4 linked regions of the Nothobranchius furzeri genome follow. The protein of the gene in region 3 interacts with the protein of the main gene of each other region in a pairwise test. Links are inferred from orthologs where the notes say so. Each region holds a gene or a part of one and is shown on either strand. Other genes may lie near its edges.

Region 1 (4,001 bases), on a different chromosome or scaffold from region 3:
AAAAATGTTCCGTTATCACAATAAAAGGTTAAATTTGCTTTTGCTTTCATTTGAAATGTTTTACAAAAATTGTTCAGCAGTTTCCCCTGAAGCCAATTAAACAGACTTCTAAAAGTTGCAGAATAGACCAATTTTAGATGGCAACATGTAAACGGTGTTAACAAAAAAAAATCTGCCACAATTGCCTTCAAAATTAAATCTCAAACTTAATTCCAAATCCCACTAGATCTCCACACTAACAGCTCATAAATATCAAATGCATGTAAAACTTAATGTTAGCATATTTTGAGGGCAGATCTGAGCTTTCAGAAGGAAGTATATGTATTTGTGGTTACAGCAAATAATTCAGACTTATCTATCTTTGAAATTGTTTCACAAGCAGGGAAGAGTCATCAAAACATGTTTGTGAAACCTAACGTTTAATTTAAAGCGAAGGTTACAATACTGGGATAAAGATGGAGCATTACCCTTGTCTTGGCATCAATGCACTGCTACCTGCTTGCTTTAGTATCCAGTATAAGGTACTTTAAAATCTATGCATGGCCTTAGGGCCTTACTCAACATTACTTTTGAGCTGCTGCTGTTCTACTCCTGTGGGTCTAAGGTCAGCTGATGAGATGGATGCTCCTGGAAGTCCCAAGAATGAGACCTAGCCTCTGAGGTGGGGGCTTTTAGTGTAGTCTGGAATGTGCTGCCTTTAAATATTAGGTTGGCATCATCGCTGTCTTGTTTTAAATCTCTTTTGAAACCCCTTTTTTATGGCTTTTAACTCCGCATGAGTCTTTTACTTTTAAGAGTAACATCTAAATTAACTTTTTTGTCTGTAGATGTGTAATCAGTGTGGCAATTTGGTGCAACTTTAAATTTAATTTCGGCCCAAAACTTTATATCTCCATCTTCAGGTTAAAAACTGCTCCACATTTATTTAGAATCAGCCACAGCTGATGGCTAAGCTGAAAAACGTGACATTGTCAGCAAATCACCACGTGGCTGCAGTGCACTGGTCTCCAGCTGAGGTAGCCGCACCTCCACCTGGCTCAACCACTCACCTGCCGATGTGACAAGTTGGCGCTCGGAGCCGCTTGCCCCATGCCTCCTTGAAAAAAACGCCCTCCTCTCCTTTTTCATCTAATGATCGCGGTTAACAGGAAACCCTCCAGAATGCTGCAGAATCTGAGTCTGCTATTTCCCTGAGCGGTAAGTCTGCTGTGAGTGTGTGCTTGCGTGCATAGGCGAGTGTGCACGGTGACGTGTGGATTGATGGTGTAGTTCGCTCCTGTGCTCGGTAGGGAGCGCTGCCGCGCGAGCAGTTGGATAGAGCAGCAGCATGTTGAATGCGAGAGAGGCGGCGCGCTACCGCCATGTCACCTAGGGAGAAACAGTTAGCGCTTCTCTCTGTTTTAGGATTAATCACCTTCGCTTTTTACTACATCCCCACTTTTCTGTACGCTACTTTAATTTTTGCAGCTTGTTGTTTTGCTTTTTATTATCACAGCGGAGAATCGTTTCCCGCCAGGTTAGGCCCGAATCCTCGGGTTGGATTAAACGTTTCGGGCGTGCTGCGGCGCTGGTCGTCGGGTTGGACAGCGACCGGCGTCTCGGTGGCCGCGCGGAGTAGAACGAAGAACCGCAACCGATCCGAGCACCATCACCGGGAGACAGAGGGACTCCCGAAGCTCAGTAAAACCGGGCTCTGTCGAGGAGAAGCCTTAGCAAGTGACTCGATTCTTTTCAGCCCTCGGGATTTTCTCATGGGGAGTTACATCGGGAAAGCCGAAAGTCCAGCGGCCGTCTCTGGGAGGCCAAAAGCCGGGAGAAATCCCCGGGAGCAACTGCGAGAACAACTGTCCAGACCCAACCATGCAGTTTATACCCCGAACAGGAGGCTTTCGTTCTCTGGGTGAGTTAATTAGGTTTATTAAGCTCTGATCCATCTGTTTAAATTCACGTGTTGCATGAAAAAGAAATGTTTATAGCGTTAGCTAGCTTGTTAGCACACAAAACCCACATGTTTGAAACGTATAAAGCTCTAACCAGAACTCTTTAACTTGGAATCGTTTTAAAAACATCCAATAACTTTGTTTCATTGGCTTCTTTTACTCATGCTTTTAGCTAAGTTACTGTGATAAATCTTTTGTTTTGATGGCTTGTTGTGTCTACACGCTTGTGTTGTCTAAAAACTAACAGAGCATTTTACTAACTTTTCGTTAAAGTGCATATCTTTACTTTTTGGTTAGGATGAGCAGCATAGTTTCTTTTTCTATGCAGCTGCATGTTTCACATGTAAAGTGATTGTTTTATATTGTTTTATTTCTATTCCATAACATCTGTACGTTTTAACCTGCTGAAGTTGTTCCTTCCATTACAATCTCCTCTGCAGGGAGCCTCTGGGTGCAGCTAACAGGTTCACCATCACCCCCCAGCGTCGCTACCCCCTTCAGCAGCCTGGAGTCTCCTCAGTAGGAGTCCTGCCTCCTGTCAAGTGGGATGGTTTCAGAAAAAAGAACATCCTGAGTCCTCGAAATTCCCCTGCTGCTCTCAGTCCCGTCACTGTAAAGATCGCCAGGCCCGACCACAACATTCCCAGGTCTCTGCAGGTTAAATGTTTTTGGGCACGACCGTTTATTTTTAATTTTTAATTTTTTGTCTTTTAATTTACTATTTGGATAGCCCTTGATTTGTTGCTTGAGGTCTTGCTACTTTCAGCCGAATCAGTGCTGACTGTCCTCTGCTCTGGTTTTTAGTGTGAATCATCTGAGTTGTGCAGGGCTCACCAGGGTCCCGGCAGACCCCTGCTCCAGAGAGAGCGTCCTCAAGGTGTTGAAGGAAAGCCGCAAGAGGGAAGTAGAGGATGAGGACAGGAGCTTCACCGCTGAGCAAAGAAGCAAAAGAAGGTAGAAAATTTGTTTAATAGATTCTTGAGGTACTGTCTGCTCAGTCTGGACAATAGCAGCTGTCTTATGGTTTCTTTTTATGGCTTTTCTTAGGCGCAATGACAGCGGTGGAAGTTCGCACTCTGCTTTTGAGCCTCTGTTGCCTAATGGAGCACCATCCCAGCTGGTCCCTAAGTGAGTAAGAATTGTATGTAAAGCTGAATCATAATCTTAGATGTTGGACAAAGCTTTAAATGTTGTTTTTATTAATGTTCTCCAGACCAGGGAGCCTAAAAAGAGGGATGACCGCATCCTTAGACGAGACCACCATGAAGAGGTCTCGCACCTCCTCCATCAGCTCTAGTTCTGGAGTTCATGCCCCGAGAGGAACTTCGGGTACCAGAAGAAATGCAATCCAAAGCTCCTACAGCTCTTCGATAGGTTTTAGTCAGGTATCTTCATCTACCGGAGTCTAGTAAAGGGGGTTTTTGCATAGCAAAAGCAAATCGAAGCATTTTTTGTTTTTCTTTACAGTGGAAGAAACCATCTGCACCCAGCTCTCCTCTATCGAGCCCTGAATCGTCTCGCTCTCAGACTCCAGAGGGATTTGCCAAAAGACCCAGGTCTGTTTCTGCATGTTTGTCATCATTAAACCACATTTAACTACAAATTAAAGCTTTTTTTATGTTTTCTAATCAACAGAGAGGATGACACTCAGTCTCCAAGCTCTGCATCCTCAGTGAAGTCGGACCACACTGCATCAGACAAGACCCTTGATACCAGTAATTCCCATTTATCTGTAGATGACTTTTCCAATTTAGATGATTCATGTTCAAAGTATGGTCACAAACAAATATGATGTTGTTTCATAATATTGCAGTAAAACAAACTCCGGTGATCAAATCCCCAGTCACAACCTCTGCAGACTCGACTGGAAGTGGTGGGAAGAGAAAACGGAAGATCCAGCTGGTGTCCAGCCACCGAGATGATCGCATCTCTCTGGTGAGGAGCGCTGATCTCCCTCACATTTGTTTATTTGCATCCAGATTGCATTATTGTGGTTGTTCATGTGCAGCCTCCACCTCCTGAGCTGGGCTACACCATCACAGCCAAAGATCTAGACGAAGA
Region 2 (4,166 bases), on a different chromosome or scaffold from region 3:
ACAACTATTAAAAAAATACAGTTGCACATGTTGCCTACAACACAGAGCTTCAACCAGAGGGCAGAAGAAATGTACAGGATTCAGGTTTTTGAGGAAAGTACAAATCCTGTTAAAGCTCTTAAAAACAGATTTGTCAAATATTAAACATTTGGTATTAATGGGATGTTACATATATGTCAAAGTGGACTATGTTACACAGTTTCAAACCTCAGCAACAGTATCAAATCAACATAACGGCATTAATTAGGCAGAAATATTTAAAAAAAATGTTTAAAATATTATACAAAATTGAACTGTAACTAAGTATAAAATTGTATGGCAATGTGGAGGTTTATAAAATAATAAATGGTTGACATTTTGGAGTCTTTTTTTTACTTTTTAGTTGCTGAAATAAAGTGATTATAGTTAATCTGGATATAGGTTTTGTTGCAGGTAAGTAGTCTTAAATGTTCTTTAATGAGATGTCCTTTGGAACATACTACGATTGTACTTGCAACAGCCAGTATAAATCCATAAAATATACAAAACATTAACAAGTAACAATCCTGCACAAAATAGCATTCTTGTTATGTGCCTGTTCTCCTCCAACTGCATGTTAAAGTTGTAAAGGTCACCAGATGTGCTCGTTTTATTGCTGCAGTGACTTGGAAACAAGGACTTTCCTTTACCTTAAGGTCCATGGTAAGAAACCGGTGAGTTATGTCGGGTGTGGGTGAAGTGATACGGGGCGGTGGTGAGAGTTGACGATGTTTGATGTAAGGATCCTCAGGCATCGGCTCAGGCTCATTCAGAACTATACCCTCATGTTCCATGAAGTCCTGTTGAGTGAATGAAAAGCCTCAAACCAAAAGACTAGTTGCAGAAGCGGCTCACACACAACACTTGTTTCATAGGGATGATAACAGGAATCAGGAGTGATGTACCTTTGTGAATGTATCACAGTGAGTAAGATGGTACTTGTATCCATACACTTCCAGGTCTATACCAAGGTTGAAGTCTTTCCAGTGGTAATAGTCTCCACGGTCATTCTTTGGCACCCGATGGCGTTTGAGCCGCTTCCCCTGTGATATCCCAGAGTTCATCACTGCGGACTCCCAGATGCACATGCTGTCATCCTCGAGATAGTAATAAATGACCACATGGCGTATACGGTGATCCTCGTCAGGTGAATTCCAGACATCCTCCAAGAAGTATGCAAAGAAACAAAGTACCTAGAATACAAGCAGATGGTTGTCAACAGTAATTTACATTTTATGGATAAATGATCATATCAGATTTTCTAGGTTCAACCTTTTTGTCGAATTTCACATAAGCTGGGATGAAGTCTTCGTATACTGTCTTGTCATCAAAGTGATATGTAAGGTCTGGTTTCTCAAAGGACAGCTCACTGATCTCCTGTTGGGACAGCTGCTCTGATACTAGAGGCTCCTGACCAATGCCAGCGGATGGGCGACGAGGCAAAGCAAAGCCGTTCTTATAGATCAGAGTCTGGGGTAGGTGGAAGGAGGACTTCTGTCGAAACAAATACTTTATTGTGGACTTAAATCACACCAGAAATTATGAAGTCATGTACACGAAACTTCACAATGTAGCATGACGCTTGTAGATGCAAAGTACATAGAATAAAAATATGACACTGGTGTATTTCCATGTAATTTTCTGTAATAAGTTGGTTAGTTTGAGTGATCCAGCACCAAAAGGTGTTATAGGTTTCGATTTACCAATTTTCCAATCACTAGCAGCTGTGAATAATAACTAAACTCTGTGTTCTTTAAAGAGTCACAGGCTCACAACGGCATTGTGACATCATATTGTACCAGCTAACACCATAGGGTATCTCTTAGCCAATGGCGATGACAGATTTAAATTCAAATGCAGTGCAGAATTTTCAGCTGAAGAGAGCACAACACTGATAGTTTTAGGCAGAAAATTAAAAATTTAACTAAAGTGCAAGACTATTGTCTACATGTGTCTGCAGCTCGATTACGCACATTTATATAGTTTATCAGAAAAAAAAGTTGATTTGGGGATGACTTGCTCTTTAAATGAACACTGGTCTAGAAAAGTTGTATTCTTATATAGTGTATAAGGTTTTTCATTCATTGCAAGCCAACTTGCACAAGGATTAATGATCAGTTTTGCTGATGTTGGTTTTACAGAACAGATGGTAAAATCCCCGCAGTTGAGAAAAATCTCATAGTAAAAGAGTATTTTAGCCGTCTTCTGCAAAAATGTGCTGTTACTAGACATTTCACACTAAAGCTTTATATTAACAAATAAGATGAATAAATTACAGATGTGAATAATTTGTGTAACAGTTCTTCTAAATGTTATCAGAACTTTTTTATGGAGCTGAAAGCATTCAACAATGTTTAAATATGTTTATCAATTATGACTAATTAGTAATTTCTTTTTTCCACAAATGCCTGAGGAATTATAGCAATGACATTTCTATTACAGAAATAAAAAGTAAAGGAATAATGAAAAACAGCAAAAGCCTGCAAAATGCTAACTTTAGTGTTTGTTTACCGGTCATTTACATCAAGAATTCTGTTTTGCTAGCTAGCTTTAGCTTCAGGTGTGTCAGTTTACCCTTTCCTCTCTAAACGAGTATCCTGGTAAAAATGGTATCCCATAGTTATTCCAGTTAAAAGCCATTTTCCCGGGAAGCAGTTTTCTAAATTATTGTCTCTAAAACAATTTGAGTCTCCTGAAGAGCTTCTCGAAATACAAAGCCACACGACAACGATTGAGGTTAGTTTGTAGTTTCCATGGAAACGATAAAACAGTAACAATTTCTAAAATTAAATACAGAAAAATAAAACTTCCGTCATAAAAAATGAGACAAATCAAATTTTACGATAAAAATGAACAGGAATAATAAAAAGAAATTAGAAATAAAATGATTTCTTAATTCTTTATATATTTTCTAATTCGTAAATAGCAAAACCCTCATGTGGCCACCAGGGGGCAACATTGCTCATTAAATCCTGCCGACTCTCCCTAACTTGGGTAACAAAGTTTGCTCTTATTTGCGTGACTACCTATCATTTGATTTGATTTGTTTCTGTGCTATGAGAAAAGGATTGTGCAGATAAAGCTGTGAAAATTAAAATTTCCAAGGAAAAACAACAGCAGTTTAAATTTGAACAGTTTATTCCAAGCACAGGAGTCTTACATTGTTATTAGCACATGTGAAATTCCTCCAAGTCTAGACAAGAAGATGGGAAACTTAATGCTTTAAAATGTTCCATTAAGACAATGAAAGCCTTTAAATGAATCTGACTATAGCTTATGTTATTAAACTGGTACTTGCACGTTTCATCTTCAGTGCTGGTTCCTTCTTCAGATGGCAGCAAGCAGTGATCACCATGAGCATCTGTTCAGCACTGACAGCTATGGAATTAGGCCGTGGTTTGTTGGAGCCCTGAAGTTCACACAATCTTTGATCATCAAAGACTAGAAAAAGTAATTTCAAGCAAAACCACATTTACAAATTTGGCATATTCTTGCAATTTTACAGAGTAGATGGCAAGTGCAATATTCAATAGAAACATTGAGGTTTTACACAAGCTCCACCTTTTCCATAGCAAAATGGTTGTATAAATAGAAATAGAAATGTGATTTCAGTTAAAAAAACACTAGTTATGGGTGACAACTATGACTTAATGGCTAAAAAAAGGCACTGCACTGTGAATTTCTGTATCAAAAATAACTATAAATCACTAAAATCCTCTTTGAGGCCTTTTACATCATATTTCAAAATTTCCTTAAATGCTGAAAAACCTATTTAATTGAGCCGATCATGGCTCGATGAGCACATCATCCAAACAGAAATACTAGGATTGCATCCCTGAGGTGCCAGGCAGCCTTTGCCACGTATAAAAATATCTCATAATTAAGCATACTTAAAACAAAGTAAACATAGATAAACTATTAAATATTATAAAATATTTTTCATAAGGGTTGAGATGAATCCCCTGCACACGTGTAGAAAAACTAAAATCTTTTGGTTTTATTAAGCTCAAAATGCAGCATGGTTATTCTCTGTGGAATGATTGTCCTACATCGACCCATTGTCAAGCATGTTTCATTCAAAATGCCCATCTGGTAAAGCACACGCTGAATACTGGAAAGTACTGAGCATAAAGCTCCAAGTGTAGCAG
Region 3 (3,500 bases):
TCCAGATGTGCTCACACACTCCTGCCAGAATGCACAGAATCAATCAGGTATGGAGTATCATTGTGTTTCCAGAGAACAATGTGAGAGAATCGCTACTCATATCCCACCTTGTTGGCTAAGCTGACAGCATTCAGGGCCTGCTCCTGAAATTGCTGGCAGTCCCACTCGACATAAACTGTGGCGAGGAGCCGCAAAGCCTTAGCCTGTAGAGAGAGGAGAAATCCTTTTCATCATACAGCTGTTGCCATTGCTGTCACCTAATTGTGTTCTGTCTTACCAGAACATCTGATCCAGGTCCATACTTTACGTTTGTTTTCCCGATGTCATAGCTTTGGCTAAAAAAAAACAAGATTCTCACCGTTTAGTTTCTGAGCACTTGAATTTAAACTTTAAATATCGTCTTTACCCGAGCCAGAAAGAACTCTCCTCAAACTTCCTGAGATTGTACATTTCTAGTCCAAAGTTGTAGCACATGAAGGAGAGGTACGCCGTCTGTGTTCAGAGTTTGTTCACAGTTAACATCCCCCTCACTTCCAACAACAATATGTGCTGTGAATGTGATAAATCAATAAATATATACTGTTGTTAGAGTGATAATAGAGGGATTTTTTTACATCTTTTGGGAGTCGTTGCAACATGTCTTTACAGCGCTGCACGTAGCCCACAGCCTCATGGTGGTTCCCTTGAGTTAAGGCCTGTAGAGAAGATCAGACATGAACTTCCTACTAAATGTCAGGAAACAATGTGACACTCACTATCAGCTGCTCTAAATTTCCCCCTCATTGTTTCTCAGTTCACATTTTTGCTGTCTCACACTTCACACTGCAAGTCTGTCAGAACAGCACTTCCTAAGCTGCCAAATATCACAAGAACAAATATTCACATTGAAGGTGTCGAACATCACATCACATGCTCACCGATTCTGCCTGGCATGACAGAATTCTAAGTAGATCCTTCTCCACATCCGCCTTGGATGAAGAGCTGTCAGCTGCTGCATTGCTTCTGGTGGTTAGCTGGCTGTAGAGGGTTTCCAGGCTCTAGGGATGCAGCATCAACAGTCGTTTGTAAAAACACCATATTTCTGTTTGCTCTAAACTTGCACAGGTCTCAGCTCTCTCTTTCTCTCTCTCTTAGTTTGTGTGCTCATTTTTTATTCACCTTGACAGCAAGCTTCAAGAAATGATCTGCCATTTGGGGATTTTTGCAGTCCAGCCAGGTTCTCCCTGTTTTGCTGGCCATCTGTAAAGATTAGACACTGACAAATGGGCCTTGTTCTCCTGAAACGCTGAGCACTCACTGAGGATACCTGAAGCACTTCTCACCAGGATCTGCTTGCGGATGGTGCCCTCTGTTGGATTGTCAGGCTCACAGTAGTAGAGCAGACTGCATGCAACATGACGGACTGCATAGGAAAGAAAATGTTGCAGTATAATGCAATGTAGCTGTGACTCGCCCAGCTCATGCCTCACATTGTGTCAAATGTTTAATATTTTCTCTTGCTGTATTTATTATTCATTGTTGGAACTACAAATAATAAATACAGACAAACTAGGATGAAAATGGTACCTTTAGCCTTGGAAATTTCACTTAAAGCAGCACCCTTGTGTTTGGTAACTGCCCAGTTCCACAGCTGAACAGCACAGTCCTCAAGCTGCAGAAGACAATGCAGCTTATATATATTAATACACATTAATAATAAAAATTATAATACAATTAATACATTCTTATACGTTCTGTGATAAACAACTTCAGCATAAAAACCTAATAACTGTGCTGAAATATAGGTTATTATATGTTGAAATATTAGTTCAGCACTTGTTTACAAACATTATGTCAGACTTTATTTGAAGCAATATGGACCAGTATTGATCCCTGACTCTGACTGTGGGCTCCAGACCCTCTGAACATACCTTCACATCTGTTATCTTGGGTAAAAACTCTAAGCCAGAGATTTCAGTAAACAGTTCCTCTATAACTGCATCAAAATCTGTCAGATGTTTCTGCAGCAACTGTTCTGTGAGACCTGAGTAAAGGCAGAAGCAGATAAAAGAGTAGTCAACAAGACCCAAACAACAGATTAGGCCTCCACACACACACACACACACACACACACACACACACACACACACACACACACACACACACACACACACACACACACACACACACACACACACACACACACACACACACACACACACACACACACACACACAGAGTCTACAGAAATCCACCTAAAACTCAGACTGAGAGCAAATCGGAGTTCATAATGGAAAATCTACAGAAAATATTTCTAACTGATCAGGGTTTTTCCTGCGTTCAAATTTGCGTGGCGGCTGCCTTCAGCTATTTTTGTGCCGCCCCAGCCTGATTTCACTCTGCCCCCAGCTACATGGATGTTATTTTAACTGCAGTTGCAGCGTTGCGCCACTTAAGGGGCGCTGTATCAACAGCGGTGCACCAAAAAGCGCTAAAACCACTGCAGAAAAAGATGATCAAAAATTGCTTTTCTCGCTAGTTGGCACATATCTATGGTTGGTGCTATTGTAGGGTGACCATACGTCCTCTTTCCCCCGGACATGTCCACTTTTCAGTCTCTGTCCGGGGCGTCGGGGGGGGGGGGGGGGGGGGGGGGGGGGGGTCCCTACATTGATCAAAATGTCTGGTTTTTCATCCAGGAGCAGGGATTGAGTTATGGGGGCTAGATAACTGTCAGGGACAGATACAGTTTCTGCCTATTTTACAATATTTATGAACGCTCAGCGTAGCGGGACTGTTGAGCGAAGAGGACACAGAGCGCTCATCGTTGGTGCGCCCGCTGCATCCGGTGCACGATACATTCTCGAGGTGGTGCAAAAAAAGATTATTATTAACACATGATCGTTCATATCTGTTTAAATCCTCTGGTATTCTGTCTTTTAATCATTCCTGACGCGCTTATCCTGTGCTGCAGTGATTTCACCTCGCTGACGCACCATCGAAAAGCGCACTCCGCTTTGCGGTCAGGAGATCCCTTTGATCTGCTCAAAAGTAACTGATGAGGTGAAAAAGTAAGAATCCAGGCATCACTCTTTCTGGAGAATTTAGAGGAGATGCAGGAAGATGAGAGACAGACAGGACAGGAAAATAGTTAAATAAAAACAAGAAAACAAAGTGTTGAAAAGTAAAATGTAGGTAGATTTATCTCCACTACACGTTTTTACCTGTATAAAACAATAAGTTGTGCATGGGGTTGTCACGGTGTGAAAATTTAACCTCACAGTTATTGTGACCAAACTTAGCACAGTTTTTGGTATTATTGCGATATTTTTTTAAATGTGTTACATTTTCAGACAACTACATAAACCCTGTAAGCGCCTCGTGATTTTTATCTTGAGAGGCCCTATAGAAATTATACTTTCTTCTTCTTCTTCTTCTTCTGTATATCAGGATAATATTGTCCTCAGTTTGTGTCTAAATTTCACCTAAAATTAGTTATTTTGTAATAATGTTATTTGTTT
Region 4 (4,142 bases), on a different chromosome or scaffold from region 3:
TGTTTTAATTACTTGTGTGTTGCACGAAAAACCGCTACAAAATCAGGAGGCTTTGTTGTTTTCCGTAAAGCTTTAATCTAAACGTTGGTCTCATATTGCTTCTGTTGAACGCCTTTTCGTTTTACCTCTCAGCAAGTAAGGACATAACTTCCACGTGTTTAAGAAAAGAAACACAAAACCAGGATATAAAACTGTACGATAGAAATAGAAGGCGCCATGGTAAAAAGGCAAATTGCAAACTTGGATTAAACTGCATCGTGAGTCTTCTCCGGTCCAGTGGCCGTGCTTTCTAAAAGATTCAGATGAGAAAGTGCTGCCTTTTCTTTGTCGTTCTTCTCTTCCTCAGTCAGTGACTAACGAGGCGGGAAGGGGGCGGGGGAGTAACCACGTGTCAGCCTTCTGACTGCCCTTATGTTTGCATTTGCAAAAGGTTAGAAGAAGGAGCAAAGCCACCCCTGAGAGGGGAGTTGAATCCAGGCTGCAGGTAAACAACACGGACAAAACTTTCACCACTTTATTGGATGGGAGCTTGTTGTTGGTCCTCCTCAGAGCCAGTGTTTACTGATCCTGGTGGAAATAAGAGCCACAGGTTAAACGAGTCATCAAGTCACATGACTTCTGAACTAAGTTAGATTTAATCACCTGGATCAGCCGCTGAATGTTTGTCTGCTTGTTGAGGAATGCTTGGCTGAGCTTGTTGCTGCCTATAAACACAGAAACATCTGTTTTCTAAGTGGGCAGAGCTCGTTTAGGGATTTAAACAGTCGTTGTAGATCTTACCGATCGAAGTAGGCTCGTCTCCTCTTCCTCAGCTCTTCGGCTGTAAGCGTCTCGTTTTGGCCTTCTTTTTGTTCTCCTGTAGTGCTCTCTGCTGCCTGCCCTCCAGATTTTACACCCTCCCCTTCACTGTCTGACATCCTGTTGCTCATCACTGCTCCTGCAGAAAGACAAATGCAAATAGTTAATTTTACAAACTAATGTTTAGAAGTTTAATACAAGTTTCAAACAGTTTTAAAACCTTCACATGGCACACAATTGACCTTGCATGCTGAGCTGTATGGCTCTGCGTAGATCAGCATCTTCATCTTCCACATCCATGTCCTGTCTACTGAGCGCCAGAGCTCTCTTCAGTTCTTCATCTTCACCCACAGACTCATCCTCAACACCAAAAACCACCTCTGTCTGGCTCAGAGCAGCCGACCTTCTGCTTACAGCAAAACGCACGAATCAGACGAGTTAAACAAACCAGAACCCTTGTGAACAAAATGACACACACCCCGCACTCGTCTGCGCTTCCTCCTCTCCGATGAGCCTTGGCCGCTGCTGCTGATGGACCCTCATGATCCCAAGAATCTGCTCTGCCTCACACTCAGGGAGATTCCCTCGGATCACAAATATGGAATACCCTGCAAAAAAAAAAAAGAACTAATTTAATCATCTTTTCTCCAGTTCAACCTCTAAATGTACAGTTTCTGATGCTACCTTCTTGTTGTAGCTGTGCAAGGAAAAGTGCTAAATATGTGTCTGATATCAACTCTGGTCCTGTCAACAGTGAATTCAGGTTAAACCACTGCAAAGGAAACAGAGAATTTTAGTGAATCAAGCTGCTATAAGACAAGTATGACTAGGTAAGTGAGTGAGTGCCACACACCTGTTGTCCAAGTTTGCGTATAGTAAACCAGTGCTCCTTATAATTGCAAATGAAGGCTTTCTCATTTCTGAAACACAAAGTAAGCATCAGCTTAAAGAAATGAGAGATCAGGATCTTCTATCATAATGTTTCCACATTAAAACCTTACACTGGGTTTATCATTAGGCTCTGGTACTCTCGACTATTAAAGAGGAGTAGCTCCAAGCCCCAGACTCGAAGAGCATTGCTAATCACCTTGAAAATATTGAAACAAGAGTGATATTACAGAAGAGGACATGGATTTTAGAAGCAATAAAAAGATAATTGTAAACTCACTTGTATTGAAAAGAACCCACTATCATCCATGTTCCCAGAGGGTTGCTTTAAACACATTTTCGAAAGAAAAACATGAATAAAATTACATTTTTGATAACATTTTGTACCAATATGTACCCTCTGTCTCATAACACCTGTAAAAAGGTCCTGTACTCCTCACTAGCCATTCCCCCCTCTGCCATCCTCATCCTCTCCTCTTCATCAAGCTGATGAGCGATAGAGGACAGGTCCACAGGAGTGAAATACTCGCCCTGCAGAAGGTTGTTGAGGCAGTGCTGGGCACAGAGGGAGCCCTCTTGCTGCAAACAAAGGATCAGGAATGTAACAAGCATCCAGCATCAGCTGGACTTCTGGAATAAAGATGCTCAACCAAAACAAACACATGTAGCAGCTAGCCCAACGAGGACCCAGCCAAGCAGAGAGCGATTAACTAACAAGAAAACAAAACCCCTACATGACGCCAGGAATAGTTATCATGTTAAAAATCTAACTTTTCACATTCTCTGACTAGCAAGTGAATTAGCGTATTAGCAGTTTGTACAACAACTCCATCACAAACGCCTCGATAGCGGCTACTTAACTGGTAAAACTATTCAGCAGATCGAGCACCGACACCGCTTAATCAAAAATCAGTAAATATAATCAGGTAAATTCGTGTTATAAAATGTTTAAACCTACTTTCTCATGAAATATGGAGTCCATATTCAGCTTTCTGTCAAACGTTCAACTCTCTAACCCCCGCCCCTCACTCGCCCTATCGAGAGGAGACGCCCCCTAGCGGGCGGGCGTGCGCGCGGCACAGTGCTGGACGCCTCTACTTACGGCAAATGGAATATGGCGGACAGTGAGAATTCCATGAACAGGCTGGAGCTGAGTCAGGTATGATGTTCTCTCAGCTAATTCCGTTGACAGCGCTTTCTGAGAGTTTGTGGCAAAACGACGGAGTTTAAAATAAAAAAAAAATCATGTGTAATAAGGTTTTACTGCATTATGGTAGAAGGTTGTTCTTGCCAGGCTAATAATAGTCGTAGCCGCCAAGGCTAACTAGCATTAGAGAGGCATCACGCTGTTTATTACGGATAAACCGACTTTATTTTTACTTCTTTTCGGGATAAATTTAGTCTTTTTCCATGAGAAATGATGTAAGTGTTTGTCTTTCCCCTCTGTGCTTACACATGACATTTAAAATGCTTAGCCTGAGGTCCTGAATGCCTTTTCCGTTTATTTACAGTGAAAGTAAACTAGTCTACTGTTACTGTGTTGTTATTCATATTTAGGTTTACCTGTTCAGATATTTTCGCCTCCCAAACACCAACATAATCACGCATTTTTAAACGTCCTAATGTAGTTACAGCCTTTGTGTTTTATTATTGAGAAATCCGTCTAATGTGGTTTTTGTTTTAGTTTCGTATAAAATAAATTATTTCAGTTTTATTTTCAAAACCGAAATATAATTTTTGTATAATTTTACTTGCTTCATCCAATCCATTGTATTATTTTCAAGGTGTTCAGTTGGTACACAAAAACATATTTGTTCTGATGATGCATATTTATGTAAGTGAACCTAAACAGACTCCTGGCGTGGATGTACCATACACTCACCAGTTTGTTTAGCAGGTAAACCAGTTCAGATGCTTATTAACACAAACAGCCAATCAGGTGGTAGCATTTAGACATGTGGACATGATGAAGTTTTGTCTGATTATCTGGGGAAGAAAGGGGATTTCAGTGGTAATGAATGTGGTTTTGTGCTGGTGCCAGGCAGGCTGGTCTGAGTGTTGCAGTTTTCATCATGATATTAGCAAAAGGTTGCATCTCAACTTCAGCTGCAACATTCATAAATGTTAGGTTAGACTTTGATGTTAACAACTTGAAAACATGGATCCATCTTAACGGTTCAGGCTGCTGGTGGTGATGTAATGGTCTGGGCCCGTACCTGATTATTGTTGGCGATAGTGTCCATACTTGTGTTTCCACACTGGACCCATGCTCTGACGGCTACATCCAGCAGGATAATACTACAAAGCTCTAATCATCTCAAAATGATGTTTTATTCAAGCCGCTACAGTCACTACATCTGAATCGAATTAATCACATTTTAGAAGAGGAGACTCACATCACATGTTTTCAGGTGACAGATCTGCATGAACTGCTTGATAATCCTATTATCTAAATA

What was found.
Region 1: the proteins of tex11 (region 3) and pom121 interact in binary tests that used the Homo sapiens proteins (3 or more experiments, as listed by UniProt). The two-hybrid records come from large-scale screens. The link is inferred for Nothobranchius furzeri from reciprocal best matches to the Homo sapiens genes TEX11 and POM121.
Region 2: the proteins of tex11 (region 3) and efhc1 interact in binary tests that used the Homo sapiens proteins (3 or more experiments, as listed by UniProt). The two-hybrid records come from large-scale screens. The link is inferred for Nothobranchius furzeri from reciprocal best matches to the Homo sapiens genes TEX11 and EFHC1.
Region 4: the proteins of tex11 (region 3) and atxn3 interact in binary tests that used the Homo sapiens proteins (3 or more experiments, as listed by UniProt). The link is inferred for Nothobranchius furzeri from reciprocal best matches to the Homo sapiens genes TEX11 and ATXN3.

The regions. Positions count from the first base shown.
Region 1 is NC_091750.1:52,615,023-52,619,023, reverse strand, and holds the start of pom121 (nuclear envelope pore membrane protein POM 121), read left to right. Parts: upstream 1-1,201; 5' UTR 1,202-1,334; coding exon 1,335-1,900; intron 1,901-2,380; coding exon 2,381-2,587; intron 2,588-2,744; coding exon 2,745-2,894; intron 2,895-2,987; coding exon 2,988-3,068; intron 3,069-3,153; coding exon 3,154-3,325; intron 3,326-3,407; coding exon 3,408-3,496; intron 3,497-3,575; coding exon 3,576-3,655; intron 3,656-3,753; coding exon 3,754-3,875; intron 3,876-3,948; coding exon 3,949-4,001. UniProt on the Homo sapiens protein: Essential component of the nuclear pore complex (NPC). The repeat-containing domain may be involved in anchoring components of the pore complex to the pore membrane. When overexpressed in cells induces the formation of cytoplasmic annulate lamellae (AL).
Region 2 is NC_091742.1:6,295,663-6,299,828, forward strand, and holds the start of efhc1 (EF-hand domain-containing protein 1), read right to left. Parts: upstream 2,801-4,166; 5' UTR 2,659-2,800; coding exon 2,593-2,658; intron 1,513-2,592; coding exon 1,291-1,512; intron 1,212-1,290; coding exon 924-1,211; intron 819-923; coding exon 669-818; intron 1-668. UniProt on the Homo sapiens protein: Microtubule inner protein (MIP) part of the dynein-decorated doublet microtubules (DMTs) in cilia axoneme, which is required for motile cilia beating.
Region 3 is NC_091741.1:84,269,679-84,273,178, forward strand, and holds part of tex11 (testis-expressed protein 11), read right to left. Parts: intron 2,024-3,500; coding exon 1,911-2,023; intron 1,652-1,910; coding exon 1,567-1,651; intron 1,403-1,566; coding exon 1,323-1,402; intron 1,240-1,322; coding exon 1,159-1,239; intron 1,038-1,158; coding exon 918-1,037; intron 696-917; coding exon 615-695; intron 493-614; coding exon 407-492; intron 336-406; coding exon 278-335; intron 204-277; coding exon 108-203; intron 22-107; coding exon 1-21. UniProt on the Homo sapiens protein: Regulator of crossing-over during meiosis. Involved in initiation and/or maintenance of chromosome synapsis and formation of crossovers.
Region 4 is NC_091758.1:31,656,002-31,660,143, forward strand, and holds atxn3 (ataxin-3), read right to left. Parts: upstream 2,759-4,142; 5' UTR 2,669-2,758; coding exon 2,645-2,668; intron 2,266-2,644; coding exon 2,101-2,265; intron 2,012-2,100; coding exon 1,967-2,011; intron 1,886-1,966; coding exon 1,800-1,885; intron 1,719-1,799; coding exon 1,652-1,718; intron 1,571-1,651; coding exon 1,483-1,570; intron 1,407-1,482; coding exon 1,277-1,406; intron 1,205-1,276; coding exon 1,041-1,204; intron 938-1,040; coding exon 781-937; intron 705-780; coding exon 643-704; intron 568-642; coding exon 515-567; 3' UTR 501-514; downstream 1-500. Other genes in the region: E3 ubiquitin-protein ligase UBR1, read left to right, coding at 2,801-2,845. UniProt on the Homo sapiens protein: Deubiquitinating enzyme involved in protein homeostasis maintenance, transcription, cytoskeleton regulation, myogenesis and degradation of misfolded chaperone substrates.